4 linked regions of the Saccharomyces cerevisiae S288C genome follow. Changing the gene in region 4 together with the main gene of any one other region gives a genetic interaction. Each region holds a gene or a part of one and is shown on either strand. Other genes may lie near its edges.

Region 1 (7,549 bases), on a different chromosome or scaffold from region 4:
ACGGAGAAAATTATTATGGTGGTTTTAGACAAGAAGTTATTGGAAAGATTGACTTCTCGTAAGGTTCCCTTAGAAGAGCTCGAAGATATGGAAAAACGATGCTTTTTGTCTACTTTTACATATCAAGATGCCTTTGATTTGGGGACTTACATAAGAAATGCAGTTAAAGAAAATTTCCCCGAAAAACCAGTTGCAATTGATATCTCCTTACCAAATGGGCATTGCTTGTTTCGCACAGTGACCTACGGTGGCAGTGCATTGGACAATGATTTTTGGATCCAGAGAAAGAAGAAGACAGCGCTTCGATTTGGTCATTCAAGTTTCTATATGGGCTGCAAGAAAGGTGACAAAACACCGGAGGAAAAGTTTTTTGTGGACTCAAAAGAATACGCTTTCCATGGAGGTGCTGTCCTAATACAATCGGAGAGAAGTGACTACCCCTATGCCTGCTTAACTATAAGTGGATTGAAGCAGGAAGAAGACCATTTAATGGCAGTCAGCTCTTTAATTGCATTTGCTAATGAAAGTCTAGAAGAAGATTTGAATTTGGATTGAGAATGTAGGTAGAAGTAAAATAGAGGCTTGAACACCATAGAATATTTTTTACCCGTTACTAGTATAACTGTTATTTAGTCGTAAGCTTTTCATATATATATTGATTGTTTTGCCCTTGAAAAAATACACAGCACCAATGCAGTCCTGTTTGTTTTAGTGATCTCTTAGCAATGTATTTTCAAGGTTGAAAATTTAAACGATCACTATTTTGATTGCGTAAGAAATGCGGAAGTAAACCATTTATTCTCCACTTCCACTTCAATTTTCTTCTTGCTTCCAAAAACCAATTCATTGATTTAGAGCCCATTGCATCTTTATTAAAATGATGTTTGATTGACTTATCATTTTCTAGCAATTGCAACTGCAATCGTTCTATTAGTTCCTTAGAGAAGCTGTCCTTTTTTTTTGATATTTCCTTTTTAAGGTCGATCTTGTTATCTTCTATGTGCCTATTTATTTTTTTTGGAACATCTGTCGATAAATGAAACGGTTCTGCTGAATTCTCTAGATCACTAAAAGTACCGCTGCTTAGATTTGATTCATCCATAGATGATTCGAACTCGCAGTTCTCAAAGATTTTAGCGGCTTCTTCATATCTAACTGTGCATTGCTCACATACAATTTCTTTATAGTATCCTGAATTTAAAAGTCTCGAGCTAATTTCATATAGGGCCTTTTCGCAGATGACACATTTCCTCAGTTGGGAATGAACATTTAATTCCGATAGATAAAGATCATCGTAACTTTTATTGGAAGATGGAATATTAACCAAGTTAACCACCATATTTTCAATGGAATTTGGTATGGAAATATCACTTATTTCAATTTCCTCTTTGATAAAATCTAAGGGGTTGTTACTTTCGTCCCTATTTTCTTCAGTATTCCTTAATATATGGGGTATCAGTGTTAGTGAATTCGGTTCAAAGCTATTTCTATTGGTTTCCTTATTAATTTCAGAATATGAATTTTTTACTCTCAGCGGGATATGATTATCTCTTCTTTTACTTAGTTTTGATTTCAAATCTGAAATAGATACCATTTTTTTTGTTGATTTACTTTGGGTATACGGTATGTAGTCTTCAACCAGGACTAGCGGTGGTATATCCTGAGAAGTATTTTCTGTTAGCTCGTAGTTTTTTGTATCTAAACTCGGCCCATAACTGACGTACCTATTACGTTTGTTGTTATGCACTCGCAGTTCATTTACAGGATTCAACCTGGGCCGTTTTTTATTGTTGTTGTATTCGTTGTTTCCACTGTCATCTTCATTAGTTTCGATATTGCATGGAGGCGCAATTGGCAAAGACGTAAAGCTCTTGTCATCAATTAGATCTAATTTGGAAACAGATTGGTACAATTTGGATGGAATTTTAGGCTTGGCACCTATCAATTGTGAGCGACGCTTTCTTACATTCAATAACTGTTGGTTCTGATTTTCACTTTGACTATTGCCTTGGTATGGAGAATTTCTCTGCAATGGTTTTGCCTGCTTCGAAGGAGTGCTGTTACTATCGAAGATAAATTCCTTCTTTTCAAATTGCCATTGTAACATGGAGTTATTCTCTATATCCTGGACGACTGGAGGAGTCAAGGGCCTGGAAAGTACGGATCCTGTAGAAATATCACTGGCAATTATACTGAGTTTATTGTTGGTGTTGCTATTCATATTTGAGCTGGTATTGGACGAAAGCAAGGATAATGAGTTTGTGTCTACTGACTCCAACACCCTAGGCTGGATTTGATCTTTCTCCATCCTTTAATTTTAACCTTTTAATTAGTGGTTGGATCAAGTTTTCGAGACTATTCCAATCTGTGACTTGTTGGATAAATAGTTTTTGACTCGTTTAGTATAATCCTTTTTTCTAAAAGTGCTTAGAGTTCTCTAAGATGTTCTTGTTTACAATGTGAGCGATTTAGGAAATTTCCTAAAAATGGCCGAGGCGGCGCTAGCATTCTACGAAAGGTGAGATAACGCTTCGTTATCGAAAAATGTCAGGGGACAGGGGTTATATAAGAACGAAAATTGTCATCCTGCATTTTTTCTTTAAAACAGCTATACAAAAAGTGATACCGACATACAATGAAGTATCTAAACTTAGTTTTCGTGCTTCAGCTTCTTATTAGCATCAAATACGCCTCATTCGGCCGAGCCTTTTCTCTTTTTGAAGATGATACCACCTTTGCCAATTTGGATAAACAGCTAAAGCTTCCACAGAATACACAGCAAACCCTTAAATTGGACCGTTTGAATCACGATGATCCGCTGTTTACAACTTTTATTTCTTCTGTGGACACAGATTACAGTTTGAGACTTAGAACAGTAGATCCTTCTAAACTAGGAATTGACACCGTAAAACAATGGTCGGGTTACATGGACTATAAGGATTCCAAACACTTTTTTTACTGGTTTTTTGAAAGTAGGAACGATCCTGCTAACGACCCAATTATTCTTTGGTTAAATGGTGGACCTGGTTGTTCCTCGTTTACTGGGTTGCTATTTGAACTAGGCCCCTCATCAATTGGCGCCGATATGAAACCAATCCACAATCCCTATTCTTGGAATAATAACGCTTCAATGATCTTCTTAGAACAGCCACTCGGAGTCGGCTTTTCCTATGGTGATGAAAAAGTCTCCTCTACAAAATTAGCAGGCAAAGATGCGTACATTTTCCTGGAATTGTTTTTTGAAGCTTTTCCTCATTTACGCTCCAACGATTTCCACATTGCAGGCGAATCCTATGCAGGACATTATATCCCTCAAATTGCACATGAGATCGTTGTCAAGAACCCTGAAAGAACGTTCAATTTAACTTCAGTTATGATTGGTAATGGTATCACAGACCCTTTGATTCAAGCAGATTATTATGAACCAATGGCATGCGGGAAAGGGGGCTATCACCCTGTTCTCTCATCAGAAGAATGTGAGAAAATGAGTAAAGCTGCAGGTCGTTGTCGTAGGTTGAACAAGTTATGTTATGCTTCTAAATCAAGTTTACCATGCATAGTCGCCACTGCTTACTGTGACTCTGCACTTTTGGAACCGTACATTAACACAGGACTCAACGTCTATGACATTAGAGGGCCCTGTGAAGATAATAGTACTGATGGTATGTGTTATACAGGTCTCCGCTATGTCGACCAGTATATGAATTTTCCTGAAGTTCAAGAAACGCTAGGGTCCGACGTGCATAATTATTCTGGCTGTGATAATGACGTGTTCACCGGATTTTTGTTTACGGGCGATGGAAGTAAACCATTTCAACAATATATTGCTGAATTATTAAATCACAACATTCCGGTATTAATATATGCGGGTGATAAGGATTATATTTGTAATTGGCTGGGAAACCATGCTTGGTCCAATGAGTTGGAATGGATCAATAAACGTAGGTATCAGAGAAGGATGTTAAGACCATGGGTCAGTAAAGAAACAGGTGAAGAGTTGGGACAAGTCAAGAACTATGGCCCTTTCACCTTTTTGAGAATATACGATGCCGGTCATATGGTGCCCTATGATCAACCGGAGGCAAGTTTGGAAATGGTCAACAGTTGGATTTCCGGTAATCGTGCTTTTTCGGATCTTTCCACCTTGGAAAATGCTAGTTAGTAGTGCTCTAAAAATGTTTCACTCTTAACCTTGCAATCATTATACTTTACACAAATCTCTACGTTTCATTTAATTTAAAATCTACAATCCAACAAATATAAAACAAAATATAATTATAAGGAAAAACGTATATAATCACTGCAATACTCTAATTTAAAATTAGGAGCACGACATTCTTGCCAGTATCATTGTTGCTAATCTTTTTCTCTCATAAATTGCCACTTGATGTTCACCCTCTCCTTTTAACTTTTCTATATGTTCCTGATCAAAAATATCCAGAGGCTTCACAACTGACAAGCCTCTCTTTTTTAAAAGTTCGACCATTTCATCATTAAATTCCTCTAGGTAATTAAACTCACTGTGTGTAACAAGCATCCCAATCAATTCAAAAGAGACAGCAACCGCTTCAGATGATTGTTCTAGGGTTGATAACCTCCTGAATTCCTTTCTAGTCAGCGTATAGAACCTGAATACACAAATAGGGTTGACTTTGAGCAAATACCTCATCAATAGAGCAAAACGGAATTTACATGGTTCGTCTGACATAACACAGCTAAACAAAAGTGCTCCTTGGTATAAGACTATATTAGATTTATCTGAGTCTGAACTTAGCCAGTTGATCAAAGTAAGTGGCACTTTTAGTGTATTATTTAAAGGTACCAGTTCATCTTCGAAGCCGACTTCAAGTAACAAGGTAGAAAGTTGTTCAGGACTTAAGACCAAATGGAGTAAGAAAAGGTAACAAAGATAATCGGAGGATTTTGGGTTGGACTTTCTTTCGTAATATGTATTCTTGAAAAGGGCCTGTAGACAATCTAATGCGGCTCCTTTTACGACAGGAATGGATAAACCGTTTGCAATGAAACCTAAAATAATATGAGGAAAATTATCTTCGTTCCATATGCATCCATTGTATGACTCTAACTTAGCCAAAAGCGTAGCAGCAAAATTTCTAGATTCCATTAATTTTTTGGCTAGCGATTTGCCATCGAATCCAAGTTGAAGATGGACCGTGTACAGTCGCTTCAAACAATTTACCATGAACAGGAGACCACCTTCAAAGAGTAAAGGATGAGGGGATTCAACACATATTGTAGCAAGCCAAAATAGCTCTTTCATTAATTCTGAAGAAGGATCTAACCCTTCGACAATTTTGCTGTAAGTAAAGACATGAGCTATAATGATGAACATTTGTTCATCATCCACAACTGGCTCTGCGAAGACCTTCATGGTTTCAACTAAAAGTTCTTTACAAAGGAAAAGGGACGTGTGCGACTTACTCATTATACCTAGAATCATCATAGCTCTCGCAGAGAAGAACGACCGATGGCCAAAAATCGCATCCATCAAATATTTCTTATATTTTGCCTCCCATTGTGCACCCTCTGAAATAGAACCATATTCCATCAATAGCATAATGTTTTTAGTGAAGAGATCTAATGTTCCGAATTTACTGGAGAAGGAGGAAGCGGCAAAATTTGGTAAAACTCTACCTTTTTCTTGGCTAAAACCGGAGATAAAGTTCAACTTTTGACGTGCGAATGTTGCACAGACGATATCCAAATTTTTCCTATTCCTTTCAGGTAAGGACTCATTGTTGGTTAAAGAATGACAAACATTCATCAACAACTCGTACAATGAGACTCTTATTTCCGAAGGACCGACATCAATTAACAGAGACACAGCGAAAAGAATCTCCGGTAAATACATCTGGGAAAGTAAGGGTGATTCAAAGAAAATTGACACACTAATTTTTGATAAAATAGTAAGCTCAGACCAACTGTGTGCGGAAGCCTCAACTGCTAGAGAAGGTAGAAAAGATTTGATCATATTTATTAGCTTCTCTATTACCTGACAAGCAATCTCTGTCGTTGGAAAACTGGTTAGTATTGACACAGCTTTCATCCAGTCTCTGTTTTCTGAATCTCTATCCAGCGCATGACTTACTATTTCTTCAACTATCACGTTCGTGAGACGACCATCCAATGCCAGTAAAAACCAAATCTGTTGAAGGTAAGCTGTCGTGAAATTTGGCTCTTTGACCGTCAACCTGATTAAGCTATAGATTATACGTGAAATCGCCTCTGGTCCCTCTTCGTCATTTGCCAAATATACATGTTCATATAAGTTTGGTACCCAGTATGACAATGAACAGACAACCGTAGGAATATGTTCTTGAGGAATCACGTCGTTTTCAAGGCCATCCAGCATATATTTCCATATATATGGAGTTAGTTCCGTTGAAGATTCTGAAAAAGCCTTGAAAATTAGGGCCAAGAACGTGGTGGTATCATCGGGTACATATGTCTCTGGGGATTTGTGAAGCCTTGTCCCAAAATCTAAATTAAATGCTTCTTGCGTTGCCACGAGAAGGTTGTATGATATGTTTTTGACGAGATCATCCTCATTGAATAAACCTACAAGGATCACCAATGACAAATGTGATATAATTTCACCAACTTCTTTAACATTGCAGTAAGAAGCATTAACTGCTGAAGAGGATGTTGAAAATGAAATATCGTTCGAAAAATCCGTACCAAAGTCTTCTTCCATCTTTAACTGGGCATAATAAAACATTTTCACAATTTCTAGGTACTTCGGACTGCAAAATACCAACTTTTCTTCATTATCAAGACTTAACGTAAATTCCGAGGAAACGCCTGTGGTGTTAGAGACATCGACTGAAATTAAATTTGATATCTTGTAAACATTGTTGAATTTGATGCTGAATGTCCTGTTTGATACGGTAACCTTGTACAACTGCGGAATCTCATGTAAAACTTGGAAGTATTTGTTTCCTATCTTCAAGGACACGGGACAAAACTTCTTTTTTTCCTTGTCATAAAGGGTAATATCATGCAAAGTAACTCTTACATCTTTCAAAACTTCCAAACTCCTACCACTCAATCCTAAGGACTTTATCAAACTTTGGTCAGTATTGCTGTTGATGAAACAACGGGGAATTGTAGTGACCAAGTACGGATTTTCTACAGTATATGATGAGGCCCATTGGTCCATAAATGATTTGTTGACGTTGAAGTAATAACATCCCATACAATTACTTGATGCTTGCTCTGGTATCAAACTGAAAAATAGAGTAGTCAATTTTTGGAAATTAGCCTTACCCCCATAAAAGGTGGTACAATCGATAACTACATAATGTTTAGAGCACCACATTCTTGCATATATCTGCAGAACTTTATAGACCAGTGAGTCCATTACAAAATTATTGTACTCGCAATTGGTAAAAGTTACGACAATGATTTGTATGCCATCCAATGTCATTGCTTCATGTACAAATGGCGCATTATCCTCTTCTTCTTCTTTCATGTCCACTTTTTTGAAGGCATAGCGACTCATGAATTCATACAATGAAGGATATTTTTC
Region 2 (7,883 bases), on a different chromosome or scaffold from region 4:
TTTCACAAGCTTCCATATTTACGCGAGGAATTGTGCGAAAGGGCTGGACTGAGCATACGTATATTTGTCGAGAAATTACGTTGTGGCTAAGAATACAATGGCATCGTAGTAGGAATTAGAAGTGTAGAATAAGAAAAACAAGCTAAGGTATAAAATGGGATATTTTGTTCCGGATTCACATATCGAAAATCTAAAGTCATATAAGTATGTGAAGCGTCCATTGGCTGCCTTTAAAGTGCAGAAGTCAGAAGCATTGTTACTAACTTTCAACAATTTTTATTCCTTTTCATGATAGATATCAAAGTGAAGACCGCTCGCTGGTATCGAAGTATTTCTTAAAGCCATTTTGGCAAAGATTTTGTCACATATTTCCCACGTGGATGGCGCCCAACATCATCACATTATCAGGATTTGCTTTTATAGTTATCAACGTGTTGACTGTATTCTATTACGATCCAAACCTTAACACAGATACGCCTCGCTGGACATATTTTTCTTACGCTTTAGGTGTATTCCTATATCAAACGTTCGATGGATGTGATGGTGTACACGCTCGCCGTATCAATCAATCAGGACCCTTAGGAGAACTATTCGATCATAGTATTGATGCCATTAATTCTACTCTGTCTATTTTCATCTTCGCATCCGAAACTGGAATGGGATTTTCGTATAACTTAATGTTATCCCAATTTGCGATGCTGACGAATTTTTACTTAAGTACTTGGGAAGAGTACCATACACACACATTATACTTAAGTGAGTTTTCTGGACCCGTGGAAGGCATCCTGATTGTTTGCGTTTCATTGATACTGACAGGTATATACGGAAAACAGGTAATCTGGCATACCTACTTATTTACAATTACAGTTGGTGATAAGGTAATTGATGTAGACACTCTAGATATTGTTTTTTCCCTAGCTGTTTTCGGTTTGGTTATGAACGCATTGTCTGCGAAAAGAAACGTGGATAAGTATTATAGAAACAGCACTTCTTCGGCCAACAATATCACGCAAATTGAGCAAGATAGTGCTATAAAAGGTCTTTTGCCCTTTTTTGCCTATTATGCAAGCATTGCTTTACTAGTGTGGATGCAACCAAGCTTTATTACACTCTCTTTCATCCTTTCCGTTGGTTTCACGGGAGCATTTACCGTCGGAAGAATAATCGTTTGCCATTTAACTAAGCAGAGCTTTCCCATGTTCAATGCACCCATGTTAATTCCTTTGTGCCAGATAGTATTGTACAAAATATGTCTATCCCTTTGGGGAATTGAGTCTAATAAAATCGTCTTTGCCCTATCTTGGCTTGGGTTCGGTCTCTCACTAGGTGTTCACATTATGTTTATGAATGACATTATCCATGAATTTACTGAGTACCTGGACGTTTATGCTTTATCCATCAAGCGCTCCAAGCTGACATAAATCGCACTTTGTATCTACTTTTTTTTATTCGAAAACAAGGCACAACAATGAATCTATCGCCCTGTGAGATTTTCAATCTCAAGTTTGTGTAATAGATAGCGTTATATTATAGAACTATAAAGGTCCTTGAATATACATAGTGTTTCATTCCTATTACTGTATATGTGACTTTACATTGTTACTTCCGCGGCTATTTGACGTTTTCTGCTTCAGGTGCGGCTTGGAGGGCAAAGTGTCAGAAAATCGGCCAGGCCGTATGACACAAAAGAGTAGAAAACGAGATCTCAAATATCTCGAGGCCTGTCCTCTATACAACCGCCCAGCTCTCTGACAAAGCTCCAGAACGGTTGTCTTTTGTTTCGAAAAGCCAAGGTCCCTTATAATTGCCCTCCATTTTGTGTCACCTATTTAAGCAAAAAATTGAAAGTTTACTAACCTTTCATTAAAGAGAAATAACAATATTATAAAAAGCGCTTAAAATGAATGAAATGGAAAACACAGATCCAGTATTACAGGATGATCTCGTATCCAAATATGAGAGGGAATTAAGCACAGAACAGGAAGAGGATACGCCTGTTATCCTTACGCAGTTGAATGAAGATGGCACCACTTCGAATTATTTCGACAAAAGGAAACTAAAAATTGCCCCTAGATCAACACTACAGTTCAAAGTGGGACCTCCATTTGAATTAGTGAGAGATTATTGTCCAGTCGTTGAGTCTCATACCGGAAGAACACTAGATTTACGAATTATTCCAAGAATTGACAGAGGGTTCGACCATATTGATGAAGAGTGGGTAGGTTATAAAAGAAATTATTTTACCTTAGTATCAACGTTTGAAACGGCAAATTGTGATTTGGATACTTTTTTAAAGAGCAGTTTTGATCTTCTCGTTGAAGACTCTTCAGTAGAAAGCAGATTAAGAGTGCAATATTTCGCTATCAAAATAAAAGCTAAGAATGACGACGACGACACGGAAATCAATCTCGTCCAGCATACAGCGAAACGCGACAAAGGTCCTCAATTTTGTCCTTCAGTATGTCCGTTGGTGCCTTCCCCTTTGCCAAAACATCAAATCATAAGAGAAGCTTCAAATGTTCGAAATATCACTAAAATGAAAAAATACGATTCCACTTTTTATTTGCACAGAGACCACGTTAATTATGAAGAATATGGAGTGGACTCTTTATTGTTTTCCTATCCAGAAGATTCTATTCAGAAAGTTGCCCGTTATGAAAGAGTTCAATTTGCTTCATCAATTAGCGTGAAGAAACCATCCCAACAAAATAAACACTTTAGCTTGCATGTAATTTTAGGTGCAGTGGTAGATCCAGATACCTTTCATGGGGAGAATCCCGGAATTCCTTATGATGAACTGGCTTTAAAAAATGGATCAAAAGGGATGTTTGTGTATTTGCAAGAAATGAAAACGCCTCCTCTTATTATTAGAGGAAGATCACCTTCTAACTATGCGTCATCTCAGCGAATAACTGTGAGAACACCGTCGAGTGTCAATTCCTCACAAAACAGCACAAAAAGAAAAATGCCATCAATGGCGCAGCCGTTAAATGAAAGTTGCTTAAATGCAAGACCTTCGAAAAGGCGATCCAAAGTGGCGCTAGGTGCACCGAACTCTGGGGCCTCCATCTCGCCTATCAAATCTCGTCAATCCACACCAATGGAAGCTTCGAAGGAAAATGAGGATCCGTTCTTCAGGCCAAATAAAAGGGTGGAGACTCTTGAACATATCCAGAACAAACTGGGTGCTTTGAAAAATCAATGTCCAGATTCCTCTCTGAAATATCCGAGTTCATCTTCAAGAGGTATGGAAGGGTGTTTAGAAAAGGAGGATTTAGTTTACTCAAGTAGTTTTTCTGTTAATATGAAGCAAATCGAACTGAAACCGGCACGCTCTTTTGAACATGAGAATATTTTCAAAGTAGGCTCATTAGCATTCAAAAAAATCAATGAATTACCTCATGAAAATTATGATATAACAATAGAGAAGAAATCAATGGAACAGAATTATCTAAGACCAGAGATAGGCTCACGTTCTGAATGCAAAACAAGCTATGGTAACGAACTCTCCCTTTCAAATATTTCTTTCTCTATACTACCTAACTCAGCAGAAAATTTTCACTTGGAAACTGCACTTTTCCCAGCTACGGAAGAGGATGTGCCAAGGACATTTTCAAGAATATTAGAAACAGGTTCGTTTCAAAATTATTATCAAAAAATGGATGCAGAAAATGCAGATAGGGTATATTCGAAAGGGGTCAAGTTGATTGCAAGCGGTACTCTACCATCTGGTATATTTAATAGGGAAGAATTGTTTGAGGAAGATAGTTTCTATAAGTATTAAATAAACTAATGATTTTAAATCGTTAAAAAAATATGCGAATTCTGTGGATCGAACACAGGACCTCCAGATAACTTGACCGAAGTTTTTTCTTCAGTCTGGCGCTCTCCCAACTGAGCTAAATCCGCTTACTATTTGTTATCAGTTCCCTTCATATCTACATAGAATAGGTTAAGTATTTTATTAGTTGCCAGAAGAACTACTGATAGTTGGGAATATTTGGTGAATAATGAAGATTGGGTGAATAATTTGATAATTTTGAGATTCAATTGTTAATCAATGTTACAATATTATGTATACAGAGTATACTAGAAGTTCTCTTCGGAGATCTTGAAGTTCACAAAAGGGAATCGATATTTCTACATAATATTATCATTACTTCTTCCCCATCTTATATTTGTCATTCATTATTGATTATGATCAATGCAATAATGATTGGTAGTTGCCAAACATTTAATACGATCCTCTGTAATATTTCTATGAATAATTATCACAGCAACGTTCAATTATCTTCAATTCGGCTTCAGTACTGTATGAAATACTCGCTAACATTTTCTTTATTCTATAATAGCACAGTGACACTTAAACGTCAAACGTGGCGCACATTAATATACGATGTATGCATTTGGCTTGACACTGCTGTAATAAGGAACATCATCATCCGTCAACTAGTAGTCACATTAGTAGTGTATTATCACATGGTGTGTAAGAACATTACGTAAAGATTGAAAAAAAGTCATCAAAAATAAAGGAAGCTGAAACGCAAGGACTAGTAGTGTAATAGAATAATATTGTGTAAAAGTATCGATACCCTTTTTGGAATTATTGTATCTTCGAGGGTGGCTTTTAATATATTTTTGAAAACCTAATATTATAACCTTTCACAACAACGAAATCCCAACTGTTGTGTAATAATTTTACTCAATTCTTACTATTGCTTTACCAATCCTTGTATTTGAGCTCTCATAAAGTTCGCTGACTACTTCTCACGACTCATGTCATCTCCTTATACTGTATATGATAATATACTGGTGGTGAATGACAGCAAACTCTTTCTGGAAAACTTCTTGTCCTAAAGAACAAAATCAGTGTAATGTGTAGGCCAGTGTTATGTTTTCATGAATATGACATCTGATAAGAATAAAACAACTGGTAAAATGACTGCTTTTTCGGCTTATAAAATTCTAACATGTACATATTTTTTATAAAATGAAAATACTATTGTCCTTAATTGTACAATTTTTACATTTGGAGGCCAAATTATAAAAATAATAGCGCTGCTACTCCAACTATATAACCCATGTTCTTGGATTCAACCTTCATACCAGCACCTTCATAGACAGAGACATTTGCGGTACTACTTGGGGTAGTAGCAGCGGTAGTCTCAGGTCCAGACGCAGTGGCTTGGATTTGACCATCACTGATCTGTGAAATAGCGGCATCTTGCTTTTTGCCGGGTTGATGATCTGCAACAGCGCTTCTATTGGAACGATACAATGAGCCATTCCAACCACCCACATCATATACAGCTGCATTAGATATCTTTTTCTGCTGAGCTGCTAAGGACCAAGATGCGCTGCTGTTGAAGGCTTCATCAGTCGAATTAAATTTTCCTTCTATGTACGAGTTCGTACTATTCGCAAATTGTACGTCCAACGTGTCTGAGGAGTTGCTTACTTGTGCATGTGCAACTAGAATATTGGTGATGGCAAACAATGTGGAAACTAAAGTGCACTTCATGGTAGATTAATTATGATGTTCGTTTGATTCTGTTCTATATTTTTTATATGCTGACTGAACAGATTATAAAAATTAAATTACATGAAGTATTGAAGTTAATGTTGGCTATTTTTGAGGAGGAGGTTCACCTTTATATAGTATTCCTCGAGCTACAAAAACATGGATATTTTTACAAATGCTAGTAAAAAGGAAAGAGGTCAAAAGAAACGTTTGGCATCAAAAGTAATCAAAGTGGGGTCTAGATTTATAATTTGTACTACGAAGAATCGCGACTCAAGGTACCAGGTACGACTGAAACTTTCTTTTTGGATTTTCGAAGAGAGAAAAATTAGTTAGCATAAAAAGAAATATAAAAAAAAAGGAAAGGAAAAGTGTTCGAGACTTTACCATACAAAGAAATATTACGGTAGAAAAAAGAGCTGCACTTACCCAATACATATTGATGAGGTAGTATTCACGGTGAGAACAACTTACATCAACACCTCAGTTTGCCGAATCTGCAGTGATATTGTATCCAAAGTCTACTTTTCATCCTCATTTACTGTCATTACAGAAATTTGTCAGGAAAAGCAACCGGGTAAGGGAACTTTCAGGGCCAACGCGAAAAAAAAAAAGGTCCATCCATAGATTTTTTAGAAGATACACACCGTGAATTGATTAGAGATCATAGTAACCTCAAAATATACAATGTCTTAGATTGGAGCAGGCAGAAATATCTATCAGAGCACAAAATGGCTAGAAATAGAACAACCTCCAAGAAAAATGTTCAAAGTAAACGCTTAATAGACAGAGTGGTTCCCATGGACAAGATTAAAAAAGTTGGCGTAGCGAAAAAAAAAACCGTAGAACACACTAAAGAAGGATTTAGCGTTGTCAACGGTAAGCTAGTAAGCAGCAATGACGTCGGTGTACTGTTAAGAGAAGCACAGGGTGCTATCGATAAAAGAACTAATGTTTCCCAAAGAAATAGGAAAAAGGGAATAAAGAATAATAGGCCCCACAAAGACATAAACAGCAGTCCTGACTGGGGCAATGCCCACAGAGGAACCGATTGGCAGAGCGAAAAAGCAAACGGCATGAACAGGGCCAAGAACTCTCGGAATTTTACCACTAATATTAAATTGCAGCGACAACATTTTGGCGAAGAAATACAAGGTGGCAGCCAGCTTGTGATATCTACAAATTCAGATGCTTCAGATAAATTGTTAATGCTATTCAACCTAACTTTGGGAGTAAACCAAGAAAACTTGAAAAATGTTCTGGAAAACATTTCTCAGGTGCAGATAGCTCAAATTAGGGTTAGAGACCTGCCTTCAGGATCTGCCACCGCTAAGGTCCGTCTGGCATATCCTACAACACAGTCTTTGGAGAAGGTAAGAAAACTGTTCCATGGCGCTCTAGTTGATGGAAGGCGCATCCAAGTGGTGATTGCATCTGATGAATCGTCCCACTTGTCGTATTAGAGTTTGTCAACGACACTCACAAGGTATTTAATCAGCAAAATCCCCGCCACAAACTATTTTTTTGAAGACATGCTTTCTCATGACTGCCTAATAACAATACCTCATTCTACTAGTAATCGACCTATGTAATTATTTCATAAACTATAAAGCAGGTCATTGCAATAACAGAAAGGCCGGTTTTTCTATAAGCTTATCTCATCGCATAAAAAATCGACAGTTGTAATTATCTCCGGCGGACTTTTCCCTTTCCGTCTTTTTTTTCAAAATTTTTTTTTTTTTCACTTCTTCTTTCAAAGCTGCCTCAAAAGAGATATATATATTGGTAAGAATCCTCTTCCAATACTAGCTTCATTTCTTCTTGAACCATGAACCCGTTATTCTTTTTGGCTTCTCCATTCTTGTACCTTACATATCTTATATATTATCCAAACAAAGGGTCTTTCGTTAGCAAACCTAGAAATCTGCAAAAAATGTCTTCGGAACCATTTAAGAACGTCTACTTGCTACCTCAAACAAACCAATTGCTGGGTTTGTACACCATCATCAGAAATAAGAATACAACTAGACCTGATTTCATTTTCTACTCCGATAGAATCATCAGATTGTTGGTTGAAGAAGGTTTGAACCATCTACCTGTGCAAAAGCAAATTGTGGAAACTGACACCAACGAAAACTTCGAAGGTGTCTCATTCATGGGTAAAATCTGTGGTGTTTCCATTGTCAGAGCTGGTGAATCGATGGAGCAAGGATTAAGAGACTGTTGTAGGTCTGTGCGTATCGGTAAAATTTTAATTCAAAGGGACGAGGAGACTGCTTTACCAAAGTTATTCTACGAAAAATTACCAGAGGATATATCTGAAAGGTATGTCTTCCTATTAGACCCAATGCTGGCCACCGGT
Region 3 (7,998 bases), on a different chromosome or scaffold from region 4:
TTTATTAACCCATGGAAGCACCAGATCTCGCTATAGACTTTCCAGCCAAACATATAAAATAATATTCTGATGTCAACTTTGTCAGAAAAGTCACACCACTTTTTCATTACCTCATCTTCTATGTGATCGTAATGTAAGGTCATTAGAAACAATAAAAGAGACATCAAATATTTCGCTTCAATGTGCTCAAATTTTGTTAAATCCTTCTTCGCAAGCTTTTTCAATTGATCTTCAATATTATCAATTTCGGACTCTTCACATGATGTAAAACGTAAGACCATCGGCGTTGGAACTAATAAATGAATCCCTAAATTATTATAAACGATTAAAGAGGTCTTTTCTTCATAAGACTCTTCAACAAAGGCGCGTTCTCTTTCAATTCTAAATTTATTATCACTATGTGTCAGAGGCTCAAGTCTCAACTTATTGAATATTTTTTCTTTGAATTCTTCAGAATTATTGGTATTAGTGAATACATTGTCAGATTTTGAAATTTTTAAATCCGATCCAGAAGTAGTTATACTTTGCAACAACTGGGATTTTTCACTCGGCAAGGCAGAATATATGTCAACCGACTGGAAAGCAGACTCAGCGATTATGTAGGGAAACTCAACAATTACATTTCTTGGATAATTTTTTAGCACTATAGTTCCTTTTATTATGTCGCCATGATGATTTACCACTAAGGCCATCGCCCCACTATCGTATGATCCTCCTCCAGAACAAACTAAAAATTCACTCTGTTCATTGAAACTGGTTATTATAGGTTCTAAGTCTTCGTCAGTCTCACTTATTCGAAATAATGGAATTACCTGTGACGACTTTAGATTTATAAGTTCGTAACTATTTAACTTCGAAACCATTAATGTTTCTTCGTGCGCACAAGCTTTATCTATTAGTTTGAAATTAAAAGCTTTGGTAAGTACTAATGAATCTGCAGATATTTTGAGTAGTCTTACGCCTTCTGCGTGAAATGCATATATTCTATAAGCCTTCGAGCTTCGGGAAAAATTACAAATAACGACATCACTAATACCTTTAAGTCTAGTTGTGTTGGGCCTTGGTGCAAATTCTGGGAGAATAAATAAAACTAGTTCGTTATCACATAATATTAGTGCGCCTTCTACTTTAGGTAAAAGAAGGATTTTGTCTATCTTCGAATTTGATTCTGCATCAAACTTTGTTTGCGACACAAGCATATAGTTTCCACGTTCAAGTTCAAAGTAATGTAAAAGATCACCTGTAGTTGTTCCCAAGAATATGTGGTTCTCATACGCCTCACAACATGTGTATATCAAGTCAGATGGTACATTGTCTAATAGGGTAGAGATTGTAAAAGGACCTTCGCTTATTTTCAGTGGCAACCCTTTTTCCTGTTCATCATTCGTGGAGGTTTTTTCATTTAAGCTTGTAATATCTGTATTTATGACATTATCTTCTGCGCTGCTAGGCTGACAGCTTTCTTGTGCTGTGTTTTTATCAGTATGTGGACTGTCTTCGATTGGTCGACTCTCTTCCTGGGAAAATTTATCAGCTCGTACTGTTTCATTTGGGTTAGCATTATGTGTATTCGTCTCTTCACTTTCTGTTGCACGTAGACTATCATCTTCTGTTTTTTTTTTGTCATTTTCTCTTTCGTGAGGTGAGGATTCGCTATCTATATCGAGCTTTCCTTCATTTTCCTTTACTTCTTTTCCTTTGTCATTATTCGTTTTCTTTTTTACCATGGTTCTATAATATTATGGTTGCAACCAAAAAAAGGTAGTCTCCTTGACTGTTATGATAGTTCTGATTCACTAATGTCGTTATAAAATAGTAAGTACATATGAATATTTCCAGTTAAACTTGCCTTTTTTTCCCATCGGAACGGTATCTTCAACAGATATTATGCGATGTAAGGAGTTTTTAGGAGACAATTATATATACCTGCACTTTCAATGAGATCAAGCTTTTTATTATTATTGTACAGATGCTTATATACCAAATATTGTGACTTTATCGTAGAAAATTTATTTTAACAATTTAGCCAAAAGCTGAGAGCCTTTGTTACTTTCATCAGTGGTGATTTTACTCTGAACTCCTCTCAAATCCTTCAAAAATGGTTTCCCTTCTTTTTGATCTTTTAACGTTTCATACAGTGCAACAATTGTAAATGAACTATCAGCGTTATTAATCCATTCTAACAAGTTGGAGGAGTCAATAATTTCATCGTATAACTTTTCAGCAAATGGAACGCCTAAGCCTTGAACATTTTTTAATGGTATGACCTTTTTTTCTTTGTTATTCCATTTACCACCTTGAATTAGTGCCTTTAATAGTCTAGTAGAAAATGCTCTATGTATTGGGTGCTCTTCTTCGGTTATGTCACCCTTAAAAGTAGTTAAAATGTTGTTTAAGACCTGTTGATACTTTTCTTGGTCTTTTTCATTCAGCTGCGCGTACAACTCATCGTTTATTAGAACTTCGGCAATGAACTGACAGCCTAGATTCTCTGTCAATATACTGGAATAATCTTTTGATATAGTGCTTAAAAACATGGGGGCGAATTTTGACAAAAGTTCGTGCCTTCTTTGTAAAGGATCCTTCTTAGAGGTGGCTTTGGACAGTTCAATGTATCTCAATAATTCATTCTTGACGATAGGTGAGAAATACTTACCGTCCAAACCTAATAGTATGTATAACCAAGGCCTTCTACCAAACTTATCAATTATGAATTCTTGCAAATGTTCCTTAACAGTAGGACTGAAAGTCTTGAATACTAAAACTGTATCGTCAACACAGTTCAGAATTGTAATGAAGACAATATTACCGTACTCATTTTTGATCAATTTTTCGGCGTGGTTTTTCAAAGCCTTTAAAATTAACTTTCTTTCCTTGGCGTTAGCTCTAGCAACCAAAGTACAAGCAACGTCTGAACCTTCTGGAGTATGCACCAATTCAGCGAATTGTTCATGAAGCAATTCGATCATTTCAGATATTTCCTTTTCGTTGGCTATTTTCACATATTCTCTCATAGCAGCATGTAGAATTTGAAAGCCGGTGGAACCCTTTTCTACTGATGCGGTAATGGTACCAATCAAGTTTCTGGCGATAATATTCCTTTTTTCAATGCTACTTTCACAAACTTTCTCAATGGTCAAATCTTTGTGGGTTTCTCTAAATACAGCATATTCAGAGCCCCAAAACTCTTTAATCATTTGTTGTCTTTGTTCATGTGTGGCATAAAGAACAAATAAATCTTCAACAACGTAGGCACCCTCACGATGTCTCATTAATTTTCTCAAAGAACCGTGTAATTCATTTATTATAGTTTGCCTTGAACTTCTTGAACCATAATGCAGTAACTTAACCAATAGATACTTACCGTACGCAGATGTGGCTAGAACATAAAATTTTCCCTTTAAAGCATCGACAATTTGTTCACGACGATCTTTGGACGAATACTTGACTAAAGTTTGAACAATACGGGAAGCATCATGCTTTAAGACAAGATCACTGATACAGTCCTTAGATAGCTCCCAGATTTCGTTGGAAAGTTTTTCACGAATCTGTTTTGGTAAAGGTGGGGTCTTCACACGCAATCTTTCCCAGACGGATTTAATTTGTTGCACTTGGGTACCAGATTTTCTTTGCATTTTCCTTTCTTTTAGCAGTTTTCTTTGTTCAGTGTGATTTCCATTTTCACCTCCTTCAGATTTGTCCTTTCCTTCTTTCTCTTCATTCTCATTTTCATGTTCCTCACTGTCATCGGAAATATCTAATTCGTCAGCTTCTTCTTCTGCTTCAGAGTCACTGGTACTTAAATCATCCAAATCATCATCATCTGATGAAGAGGATACAGCATCTTCCTTTTTGGATAGTTCTGATTCTTCATCAGACGAATCAATAGAAATTCTAGGTTTTTTGGCTAATTTCTTTTCTGAATGACTAACTTCTTTAGCAGAACGTTTTCCGTTTGTCTTCTTGGTTAAAGGTGCCATTGTCAGTTAATTTGTTATTCCTGATTGTGCTTTATTTCAGTACTCTATAATAAAACGCTTTCACCTTCGAAATACTTTAGGTAGGCATCTCATCTCATCCCAGCAAAAAAAATTTTCAGTATTTCTCTCAAGGTGAAAAAAAAAAAAGGTCTTCAATGCCGGGTTAGTTAATCTTCTATATATGCATACAACAATTAGTTCGACTTAAATACAATGAACTTTTTTCTATCTTGTAATTTATTTTTATTTATTTTCTACTATGTATTTGAATATTCAATTGCGTCTCCTTCCTTTTACCTCGTGAAAGGACTATATATCCTCTATAATCTCTTGAGTTGGTTCATATTTCAATTCATGAACTCTGGCAACTTGCTGTTTTCTCTTCTTGGCCAAAGCTTTCGAGGCTTTGATGTTGAACCCGTCCTTCAAAATAGTTTGTACCTCTTCTAACTCCAATCCCGATAATTCTGGATAACAGAAGTAGCAGAAAATGGTTGATAAGCACGACAATCCCGCGAAAAAGGCAAATGTACCTGCAGGAGTGATATTCTGTAACATGGTCAAAAATGTGGATGCAATAACCAGTGAACCAGCCCAGTTTGTAGCAGTTGCATATGAAGTCCCAATACCTCTCACGTTTTGGGGGAATAGTTCCGATTGTTGCCATGGAACAGTACCGATACCAAGAGCGTAGAACGCAGCAAATACGATAATAAATACGATGATCACAATACCCCAAGAGGAGAAACCGGAGGAAACCACCACAGCGACAGCGCCATCAAACTTAATACCTAGAAAATGGAAAGCAATAGAGCACACGACTAAAGCCATGGTCATGCCTGGTAATCCAATCAATAATATGGTTCTACGGCCTATTTTGTCAATGGAAAAAAAGGCAACTAAAGTGAAAATAAAATTGGTACCGGACACGATGATTGAAACAGCGGAAGAATTTTTGAAACCGACAGTTTCGAAGATGGTACCAGAGAAATACATCAACGAATTCCAACCGGTAAACTGTTGAATTGCTTGTAAACCACAACCAATGATCAAAGCCCTTAGATTAGATGGTACTGTGTGCAATTCTTTGATGGTATTCCAGACTTTTTCAGGGACATTCTTACCAGGAATAGATTGATTCAAAGTAACAAGTTCTTCCACCTTACGTTCAATGATTTCCTCCGAAGTGTCAGTGTAACTTCTCTTCAACACCTCAGTAGCCCTTGCCAAGTCGCCCTTCATAACGTAGTATCTTGGAGTGTCAGGTAAAAAGCACAGGCATGTGAATTGCACAGCAGTGGGAATTAGTGACAATCCAACAAGAATTCTCCAACCATTGTTGACGTAGTTTAACCCAGCACCGCAACCGTAAGCGACTAATTGACCACCAGTCAACCATAAGGAATTGATGACAGTTAGTCTCCCTCTGATCATTTTGGGAGCAATTTCACTGATGAAAAGTGGCGCGATCAAGGAGCCGATACCGACACCGAAACCCATGATCAGTCTACCAACAGCCATTTGCCAGAATGTGTGTGCGGAGACCTGTAAGATTGCGCCAATGACAAACATCAGATTCGAACCCATTAAACAACGTTTCCTACCAAATATGTCAGCTGCAGTACCGGCGAAAATACTGGTAATCAAAGCTCCCAGAGAGGTAGCCGCAGTGACAATTTCCTTCTCCCCATAAGTAAGTACCTTGTGGTCCAGATCTGTGCCGATCGAGATCAGCGCACTGGATATATAACCAGTGTCGTAACCAAACATGAAACCGGATATGGATGCGACAAAAGTCAGAGTGATGATGAAGGGCGAAAGAGATTGGTTAAAAGTGATCATGACCGACGTGTCATCCTCGTCGTTCACGGGTTTAATTTGAATCCTATCTTCATCATCGCTAGCGGGAGCCCTCTGTATTTCATGTGACTCAAGTGTAATTTTACCTCTCTTTGAAGGTGAGTCATGCTCACTGTTGAACTCTACACTATCAGCGTTGCCAACGGCATCACCAACATTTGATTGCGATGTCTTTGACGTGAGATATGGTATGTGTATTCCCATTTTAACACCCACTGCAGAAACAAAGAAAATGAAAGAGATGTATACAGTAGGACGACCAATAAATCTGAATAGCGCACCAAACTGAAAGAGAAGAATAGAGCAAACACCTGCCAAAGAAAAGCCCAAGTGTGAAAGGTCTTTTCTCAACTATGGCTTGATTCCTTTTATATTTTTTCCATTTTGCAACAGCGCGTTGAGCTTGGTCGAGCTTTTTTCACATGCGGTGGGGAAGGCGTATTTAGCGCAACCAGTGGGGGGTATAAGCTATACCTAACGCATGTGAAGAGAACAGAAACAATGGTGAGAGAAAATAAATGGAGAGGATGGAGAGAACTAAGTATATGCGCTTATTATGTTATATAGATGTTAAAATTATCATAGCTCATCATGTGAGACGATCCTGTCCACGGCCTCATCGACAGCCCGCTGGATACTACTGACGGCTGATACAGATGCGAATGGTTCCACAGAGGTTGCTGAGGATGTAGTTGTAGTGGCTAGAATGGGTGCATTTAGCACAAGACTGGGTGCTTGAAGAGAGGACGAGGAGCCTGCATAGCTTTTAACTAGACCTAGGGTGACGAGTATACCCTTGAAAAACTTGAATAGCAGCCAGAGGCCGAGTTTAACAGGTAACTTGAAAATACGACGCCATAGAACCCACGAGACGCAGCATAGGAGGAACCCAAGTGATAAATAGACATCTCGTTTCTCTTGATGGGAGGCATTTTCCAGTACTTTGACCAAATCGGCAGTTTTCTTGAAGACGGTTTCGAATTGAGTGTACTTGTCATCGATTTGTGTTAAGGAATTGGTTTGGGCTCTCAATTCATCCAAATTCAGGTCACTTTGTAAAATTCCGGACTGCAAAATTTGATTTCCTCTCACCAAGTTATTCGTCAGTTGTTTTGTTTTGCTCAAAAGCTTCTCTCTAGTGCTGGCTTTTTCCATCGATGTGGACGTTAAGCTTGACGATGACGACGTTCCTTGGTGAAGCTTGTCGTAATCCACAGCGTGAAATTTTATAGCGCGGTCTCTTTTCTCGTCGTTCCAAGCTAAGTCACGTTTGTGGTGTTGTCGTAGAATCTCTTTGACTTTCAGGCGGTAGCAATAGAACCAATCGACGAATTGCAACACGAAATCCAGTTCTTCGACCAACTGAGCATATATGTCCTCGTTCATTTGTTTATCAAGCTTCACAATATGCAACTTATCGCATTGATCGTATCTAGGGCTTTTTTCCCACTGTAATTTTAATTCGGGGTATTTGTAGGTCATTTCCACAATACTACATTTCAGTACCGATTCGAAATCTGAAACTTTGCTCTCTATAATATTCACCAAATCCTCAAATTCAATCTCTTCTTCTTCATCATTGTGTTCGTTGGCAATGGCTGCAAAACTGTCCTTATTATCATGCTTGCTTTCTCCGCTTTCTTTTCTGCGGGAGATTGCACTTAATTTTTGCAAATTATTTAATAATGCATCTTGCAAAACTTCCAGGTCCTGCAAAAATGTCACGACCATAATCTTTAATGGCTTTATAGTTTGTTATGCGCCTTGGCAGCGTGATCCGATCTTACTTGTTAACTGTATATCAGGTATTTCTGTTGGCATTTTTACAACTGCGAATGTATTTTTCATTATTTAGTAACAATTCTATTTACCCGGACAGCGTGTGCAGGTGATTTATTGATAAAGTCACTGGTAAAGACGTGCTTTCTTTAGTGTGGGATTAGATTTACCACTTGTTTTGAGATTAGGAAAATTCCAACGTTTGCTAAAGGTGCAAACGAAGCTGTTTTGTTGCTTTTCTTTTCTTTATGTAATTGTATTTACCATGATCCTCTTTGGTGCGGCGCTAACAATAGAAAAAAATACACACACATTAGATTGGAATTAGAGCTTAAGTGGTACAAACTAGGGCTAATAAAGAGGTAACGGTCGGTTCTCT
Region 4 (7,430 bases):
ACAAATTATAACATTGTTGAGAAAAAATTTTGAGATTTTTTTCAAAGAAGACGATCTATGCTTCATAAGGATGTTTTATATGACATTAATGTGTGCTTATATGGAAATGTATAATGCATGGTCTTTTATCAAAGAAGATGATCAAGTGTCCGGTTCTGCAAGTAAGGCACCCAAGAAACATTCTTTTTCGAGGCACGAGACATCGTCCAGTAGTATCACAAGCGGTGGAGGACCCGCAGCAAGTACGACCAGTACACATTGTAGCGGAAACATAAAATTACTGCCGAAAACAAGGAGCACAAGAACACCATCTGCATCTGCATTGCTTTCAAATAGTAATATTCTGACGGGTGATACCACTGCTGTTCCTCTTTTATCACCAAATCTAAATGGTGCACACACCCATGGTCCAATTTTGGGACACCAAAATGCAATAAGCAATGGAAGTTCTCAAACGAACATGAATGAAGTAAAAACTACTAGCGATACTATTCCAAGGCAACAGCTGCTTCAGCACAATAAATCCATCAGCGATTCGAAAAAAGAGTCACAGGCGCATGAACCTAAACAGCATCCGGTTATGACTTCTTCAATAATTAACGCATCAAATAGTAATAACGTCTCGAATGTTAATATAACCCCACCACCGATGAATGGTGGTGGTGCCGCGAACAGTAGTGCTAATGTAGTGGAGACAAATATTGACATTCAACTGTATCAAACGTTGTCCACAGTAGTTAAAATGGTGAGCGTTGTATATAACCAGTTAACTTCAGAGATATCCAAGATAGCCATTGCTAGCACCATGGGAAAGCAAATTTTGACGGACTCGCTAGCACCTAAAATTCGTGATTTGACGGAAACATGTCGTCAAGCGATGGATTTATCCAAACAATTGAATGAAAGGTTAAATGTATTAATACCGAACGATTCAAATTCAGAGAAGTATCTGACATCTTTGGAGAAGCTGAAAACGTGGGAGATAATGAATTCGTTCTTAAAAGTAATAATATCAATTCTGGCTAATACTAAAATCGTAATGAGCGACGTGCCTAATTTGAATGAGCTGAGACCTAACCTAGCCAACTTGGCGAAGATTACCAAGGATGTCACTGTGATATTGGACTTGAGTTCATACAAGGCTGTATCAGTAAGCGCCAACTCTCCGGAGTAATATAAAAACTTGCATTGTGAGAAAACGCGAACTTTAGAATACGTAATGGGAGGATCATATACCCCATGGTACTGAAATGTATGCTTTATATATATATATATATATATTTATATATTTATGCATGAAAAATGAGGAGTTCGGAAACAGAAGTTTTAAAAGTTACAGATTTATTGTATAAAAGATACACGCCACTGGTTGAATGTAAATGTTAAAATGAATTGGCATGGTCTAAAAATCCCTCGTAAATCTTGCTTAATTCATAATGGTAACCATGGATACCCTGGGATTCCAAAAATATGGGTAGGCGAACTCTTGTTCGTTCCGCGATACCTTTTAACCTCACAATATCAGTCCCATTCAATCCTGCTATGTTCTTGCTGGCTGAAGACGTTTTAGGGACTTCTTTGCAATTATCATTATCATCAGTTAGAATTACAAATATCCTGTCAAGGATGAAGAAGAGTTTGAATAATTTGGATAAAGTGTCATTAATCTCTGAGTCTTCCATATTTTTGAATGTAAATTTTTCAACGTAATCGATGAGATCGTCCGCAATTTTTATTAAATAGGACCCTTGACCAAAATAACTAGAATATCCGCATGTATCTTTTGGGTTTCGGGAATCTGGGCAATGTCTCTTTTCTTCTGATTGAAGTAAATAGTCTGAGTTTGGAACATGGGCAATAGAATACCAAACGAAGTCAACTAAAGTTTTTAAATCCTGCAGCAGCGGAGTAAGACTGGCATAGCCGTTTTTGATATTCAGGCCCCTGGATTGAACAAATTTTCTTTGAATTTGTAAAAGCTGATCATCAACGTAAGAGATGAATTTGGATTGTTGAGACATTGACAATCTTCTCGGGTGTGACGTTCCATTGTGATCATTTGGCAATAATTCACTCAGCTTTGTGGCAGACGAAAAGGGAGAAGACACGTTTATTCTAGGCTGGAAATCGTCAACATCATCGAGCATAGTTACGTCGTTGATTGTGTTGTTAGTTTCATTGTAAACATCATTGAATTCTGGTGTATGATATCTTCTTTTCTTATTACAATTACGCTGCCATATAACGTTGTCTATGTTAGAATTTACGACATCACCTGAGTCTGCACTAATTTCTACATCTGAGTTTGGATCCAAGTTTAAATCATCAATGTCTTTTTCATCTAGATCATTTAAGTTGTTCAAGTCCAGTTGCTCATTCGGTTGAGCATGTAATGGTGTGTTTGGCTCAGACATCAAAATACTGTGTTGAAATCTTTTATTTTTATAATATTTCTTTCCTTACCAGGGCTTGGAGTCTCTACAACAGTTAGCTTACTGTTTATTCTGCCACATTTCCACCCTTTTGTGGGGCTTCTATTTCAAGGACCTTCATTATGGAAACAGGGCGAGGTTGTTTGTTCTTCCTGCATGTTGCGCGCAGTGCGTAAGAAAGCGGGACGTAAGCAGTTTAGCCATTCTAAAAGGGGCATTATCAGAATAAGAAGGCCCTATGAGGTATGATTGTAAAGCAAGTGGTGTAAAATTGTGTGCTACCTACCGTATTAGTAGGAACAATTATGCAAGAGGGGTCCTGTGCAAATAAAAAATATATATCTAGAAAAAGAGTAGGTAGGTCCTTCACAATATTGACTGATAGCGATCTCCTCACTATTTTTCACTTATATGCAGTATATTTGTCTGCTTATCTTTCATTAAGTGGAATCATTTGTAGTTTATTCCTACTTTATGGGTATTTTCCAATCATAAAGCATACCGTGGTAATTTAGCCGGGGAAAAGAAGAATGATGGCGGCTAAATTTCGGCGGCTATTTCATTCATTCAAGTATAAAAGGGAGAGGTTTGACTAATTTTTTACTTGAGCTCCTTCTGGAGTGCTCTTGTACGTTTCAAATTTTATTAAGGACCAAATATACAACAGAAAGAAGAAGAGCGGAATGAGACCGTTGTATAGCTGCAACCTTGCAACCAAAGATGATATTGAGATGGCAGGTGGCGTAGCTCCTGCTCACCTGGAAGTTAATGTAGGCGGCTATAATACAGAGCAGACAATACCTATAGTAAAGCATCAGCTCGTGAAAGTTGGGAGAAATGATAAGGAATGTCAACTCGTTCTAACGAATCCCTCTATCTCCTCTGTTCATTGCGTGTTTTGGTGTGTCTTTTTTGATGAGGATAGTATTCCAATGTTCTACGTTAAAGATTGTTCTCTTAATGGAACGTATTTGAACGGTTTGCTTTTGAAAAGGGACAAAACGTATCTTTTAAAACATTGCGACGTTATTGAATTATCGCAGGGAAGTGAAGAAAATGACATTAAAAAAACACGACTAGTTTTTATGATTAATGATGATTTACAATCTTCTCTGGACCCAAAACTTTTAGATCAAATGGGTTTTCTGAGGGAAGTAGACCAATGGGAAATAACAAATAGAATAGTGGGTAATGGCACTTTCGGTCATGTTCTGATCACGCATAACTCAAAAGAACGTGATGAAGATGTCTGTTATCACCCTGAAAATTATGCTGTGAAGATCATTAAACTAAAACCAAATAAATTCGATAAAGAGGCTCGAATCCTTTTGAGACTGGATCACCCAAATATTATCAAAGTCTACCATACTTTCTGTGACAGGAACAATCACCTTTACATATTCCAGGATCTTATCCCTGGTGGTGATTTGTTTTCTTACCTAGCTAAAGGCGACTGTCTAACTTCCATGTCAGAAACTGAATCGCTATTGATCGTCTTTCAAATTTTGCAAGCTTTAAACTACCTTCATGATCAAGACATTGTTCACCGCGATTTGAAACTAGACAATATTTTGTTATGTACGCCAGAACCGTGCACTAGAATCGTCTTGGCAGACTTTGGTATAGCTAAAGATTTAAATTCCAACAAAGAAAGAATGCATACTGTCGTAGGCACTCCGGAATACTGCGCTCCAGAAGTTGGATTCAGAGCAAACAGAAAAGCATATCAAAGCTTCTCAAGAGCAGCTACGTTAGAGCAACGAGGTTATGACAGTAAATGTGATCTTTGGTCTTTGGGTGTCATTACACACATTATGTTAACAGGGATCTCGCCTTTTTATGGAGATGGTTCTGAGAGGAGTATTATTCAAAATGCAAAAATTGGGAAGCTGAATTTCAAACTGAAGCAGTGGGATATTGTTTCAGATAATGCCAAGAGTTTTGTCAAAGACCTTTTGCAAACTGACGTAGTTAAACGATTAAATAGTAAGCAAGGTCTCAAACATATTTGGATTGCAAAACACTTAAGTCAATTAGAGAGATTATATTACAAAAAGATATTGTGCAATAACGAAGGCCCTAAACTAGAAAGTATAAATTCAGACTGGAAAAGGAAGTTACCCAAAAGTGTTATCATTTCTCAGGCAATACCGAAAAAGAAGAAGGTTTTGGAGTAATCATAGGATTATCTCTTCCTCTTTCAAACTGCGCGTAGTTCAAAATAAAAAGGTATCTGTGTAAAAAAAAAAAAGTAAGTCAATTGTATGATTTTTAAGTAAAAGTTGCCCTTTTCTACTAGAAACGGCGAGAAAAAATGATAGTAGTGTGCCAAGAAGAATATGAAGTTACTTTTTAAAAGATATTCGTCTAGTCATATTGGTAAGCTGATTAAGGACTCTTTAATCACTCCTGAAATACTACCACAGCTAGGGCGACAGCCATCATCGCATAAACGTTTACCAAATAACAAAAGAACTAACTCAATAACTGATAAATGGTTGAAGGATGCGCTAACAAGAAAAGATAAACTGAATGAAGATAAGCTCCAAAATGTAAATTTACGATTAAATGTGGTACTGACTACTCTACAGAAGCTTCGTACATCCGATAATCCTGCTTTGTATTTTGCGTTGTTGAATCGTATTGGCACAGGTCACATAAAATGGCTAAATAAAAGTGGCCGACAGATTGATGCATTCCCACCTGATCGGCTGCCTTTGGAATTTTATCATGAGCTATCTAATATGCTCTATAAACTATCGCTTCGGTCCGCAAATGACAAAATTGCACTAGCTAAATTTTCATTGCAATTATTGGATCGCTATTATTTTCTTAAAACCAAATCTTTAACTATAGAAGGAAAATTTCGGGCAAACATAAAATTTTTGAGGAATTGTACTCTTTTAATTGTTAAATCCCAATCGAACTACTACTTAAGGGCAATACAGCGGTTGTTCGCGGAAAATTCGGAGGGTCAATTATTAGCCAATTTATCCCAGCTGGCATTTTATGTGGAGACCTCCCAATGGACAAGTATGTTGGATATTTTATCCTCATGTGTACCGGATTCTGGTTTAAGAGGTTCGAAGGAGCGTGAAAGAGCTATTCAATTGTTGGAGTTATTTAGTCCATGCCTAGTCAAAAGTCTAAAAGTAATGATAGCACAAAATATGGAGAATGAAGCTTGTCAGATTTTAAGGAGCTTGTCTGAATGGAACTTTCATTTTGATCAGCATGATTCCTCCAACTTGATACAATTATCCCAGAACCATTCTTGCCTCAAAGTTATTGAAACCATGAATGGATTATCATCAACTACCGCTGTCACTAGGCAATTCGGACTTGAAAAATTACCAACTGACGTGAGTTTGAAGCAGAGCATACATATTTTATCAAAAGATAATTTCGAACCTCTCAAGCAAGATTCATTTCTTCAATTTCTATCGTTTAAATTAAGTGATTTGCCTCTGAACTTAGAAGTATGGAAAAAGCACATTAAGGAGGTTGATGACCAAATGCAGGCTGAGTCCAACCTGCATTCCTTAAGAGCTTTTTTTATTGATATGCTACTGTGTCACTTATCTGTGCGCAAGGATTTCGATTTTATGCTTTCATTGGTCGAGCACATAGTATACGAAAAAAATTTATGGCAGCCATTATTACTCACAGATAATATAGTTGGAAACAAAGAAAATTCCACTTTTCATTGCCTCTTTCATGGCGCCTCTCAAGATATTTCTACCAAACTTACTCTACTGGCATTGTATAACCAGTTGAATGAAATCGGCTATCAATTTACCTCCCACGATTTTCTCTCGATGTTGAAAGTCTGCAAAAACTACTCTGATTCTGATTTTTTCTATTTTGCTTTCTATAATTTGTTGGTTACACAAAGTCACAAATTTTTTCTTTTCGATAAGTTTAGTGATAAGTTTTCGTGGAGGTTGCCAATACAAATCGGAGATGCAATTTCTGAATGGCTATCCAGCTTAGAAATTGATATACAAGAAAACACCGATAGAGTTTTGCAGATAACAGATGACGTCGGCGAATGGTATGTTGAGAATAAACCATTTAAGTCAGAAAAAGGGACCATTCAACCAATAAACATAATGGAATTGCGCAAAATTTTTGGGGAGCGAAAAACTCTATTTCATATGGATTCAGAAATTTTCCAAAAATCTAAAGCAAAAAGAGATAAAGAAATGCGGAATGAAGCTTTATTTACCGCAAATGATGCGGAATATAATTTTGCTGCGGATGTATCCTATGCAAAGAGAGTAGAAAATCTATTTTCTTACATAAGATCTAAGCAAATGCAACAAAAATAATGATTATATGTAAAATTTGCCGTTTACATTCTATAAAGTGATATCAGACTCTAATATATTCGCCAATTCATGTTTCTGGCAGGCCACTTGTAGAGCTTGGAGTTGCCTGGTGACACCTAATTCCAAAAATATCTGGAACATACCTTGTAAAGCGACATTTTGATCAGTCATAAATTTTGATTTTGTTGCGGCGTATTCACGTTTCACAAGAACCAACAACCTTTTCAGTATTATGTTGGATAGATTCTTCTGGTCAGCATTTTCTCTCATTGTGTGGTAACAAGATATTGCCAAGAACGGGAAGAATTTGATCACGCTTACTCTCAATGTCGTACAATCTAATAAATGTAGGTTATAGAACTTGGCGAAAACACCCTGAAAATTAAAATTTGGATGTAGAACAACCAACCCAGATTCCATGATTCTAGTCCAAAATTTTACACAATGAATGGTGAATTTGATGGTGTCAAATCTCATACCTCCTGTTAATGGATCCTTGTTACGATCGCGTATTCTTGATTCAGCGATTTGTTTAGCGCTTGGAATTATTCTGATTAAATCGTGGCATAATTCCAGCTGTTGTGAAGGAGACAAAGATCTGTAGTATACGATAAATGAATCTATTGATGAAGTAAGCTGAGAATCTGTAAAATGTATTGCTCCAGCG

Evidence for each region.
Region 1: mutations in MEK1 (region 4) and ATG42 together harm fitness more than expected from each alone (negative genetic interaction), as found in Saccharomyces cerevisiae (3 studies listed by BioGRID).
Region 2: of MEK1 (region 4) and NDT80, changing one enhances a phenotype caused by changing the other (phenotypic enhancement), as found in Saccharomyces cerevisiae (2 studies listed by BioGRID).
Region 3: mutations in MEK1 (region 4) and PUF6 together harm fitness more than expected from each alone (negative genetic interaction), as found in Saccharomyces cerevisiae (3 studies listed by BioGRID).

The regions. Positions count from the first base shown.
Region 1 is NC_001134.8:513,029-520,577, forward strand, and holds ATG42 (carboxypeptidase C), read left to right. Parts: upstream 1-2,635; coding exon 2,636-4,162; downstream 4,163-7,549. Other genes in the region: YBR137W (uncharacterized protein), read left to right, coding at 16-555; YBR138C (uncharacterized protein), read right to left, coding at 734-2,308; GTPase-activating protein IRA1, read right to left, coding at 4,322-7,549. UniProt on the Saccharomyces cerevisiae protein: Vacuolar serine-type carboxypeptidase involved in vacuolar zymogen activation, breakdown of the autophagic body, and autophagosome-dependent protein synthesis.
Region 2 is NC_001140.6:354,661-362,543, forward strand, and holds NDT80 (transcription factor NDT80), read left to right. Parts: upstream 1-1,900; coding exon 1,901-3,784; downstream 3,785-7,883. Other genes in the region: EPT1 (bifunctional diacylglycerol cholinephosphotransferase/ethanolaminephosphotransferase), read left to right, coding at 155-204, 296-1,421; YHR125W (uncharacterized protein), read left to right, coding at 4,198-4,503; ANS1 (Ans1p), read right to left, coding at 5,042-5,521; YHR127W (uncharacterized protein), read left to right, coding at 6,253-6,984; FUR1 (uracil phosphoribosyltransferase), read left to right, coding at 7,455-7,883. UniProt on the Saccharomyces cerevisiae protein: Transcription factor required for successful completion of meiosis and spore formation. Gets activated after completion of meiotic recombination at the end of prophase I.
Region 3 is NC_001136.10:1,439,424-1,447,421, forward strand, and holds PUF6 (Puf6p), read right to left. Parts: upstream 3,981-7,998; coding exon 2,010-3,980; downstream 1-2,009. Other genes in the region: CORVET complex subunit VPS3, read right to left, coding at 1-1,727; myo-inositol transporter ITR1, read right to left, coding at 4,290-6,044; SEC20 (Sec20p), read right to left, coding at 6,420-7,571. UniProt on the Saccharomyces cerevisiae protein: RNA-binding protein involved in post-transcriptional regulation. Component of the ASH1 mRNP which transports the ASH1 mRNA to the distal tip of the bud, where the ASH1 protein is translated and targeted to the daughter cell nucleus.
Region 4 is NC_001147.6:992,197-999,626, reverse strand, and holds MEK1 (serine/threonine protein kinase MEK1), read left to right. Parts: upstream 1-3,115; coding exon 3,116-4,609; downstream 4,610-7,430. Other genes in the region: SOG2 (Sog2p), read left to right, coding at 1-1,174; TFIIH complex subunit TFB6, read right to left, coding at 1,383-2,414; MNE1 (Mne1p), read left to right, coding at 4,772-6,763; CIN1 (Cin1p), read right to left, coding at 6,794-7,430. UniProt on the Saccharomyces cerevisiae protein: Probable protein kinase required for meiotic recombination.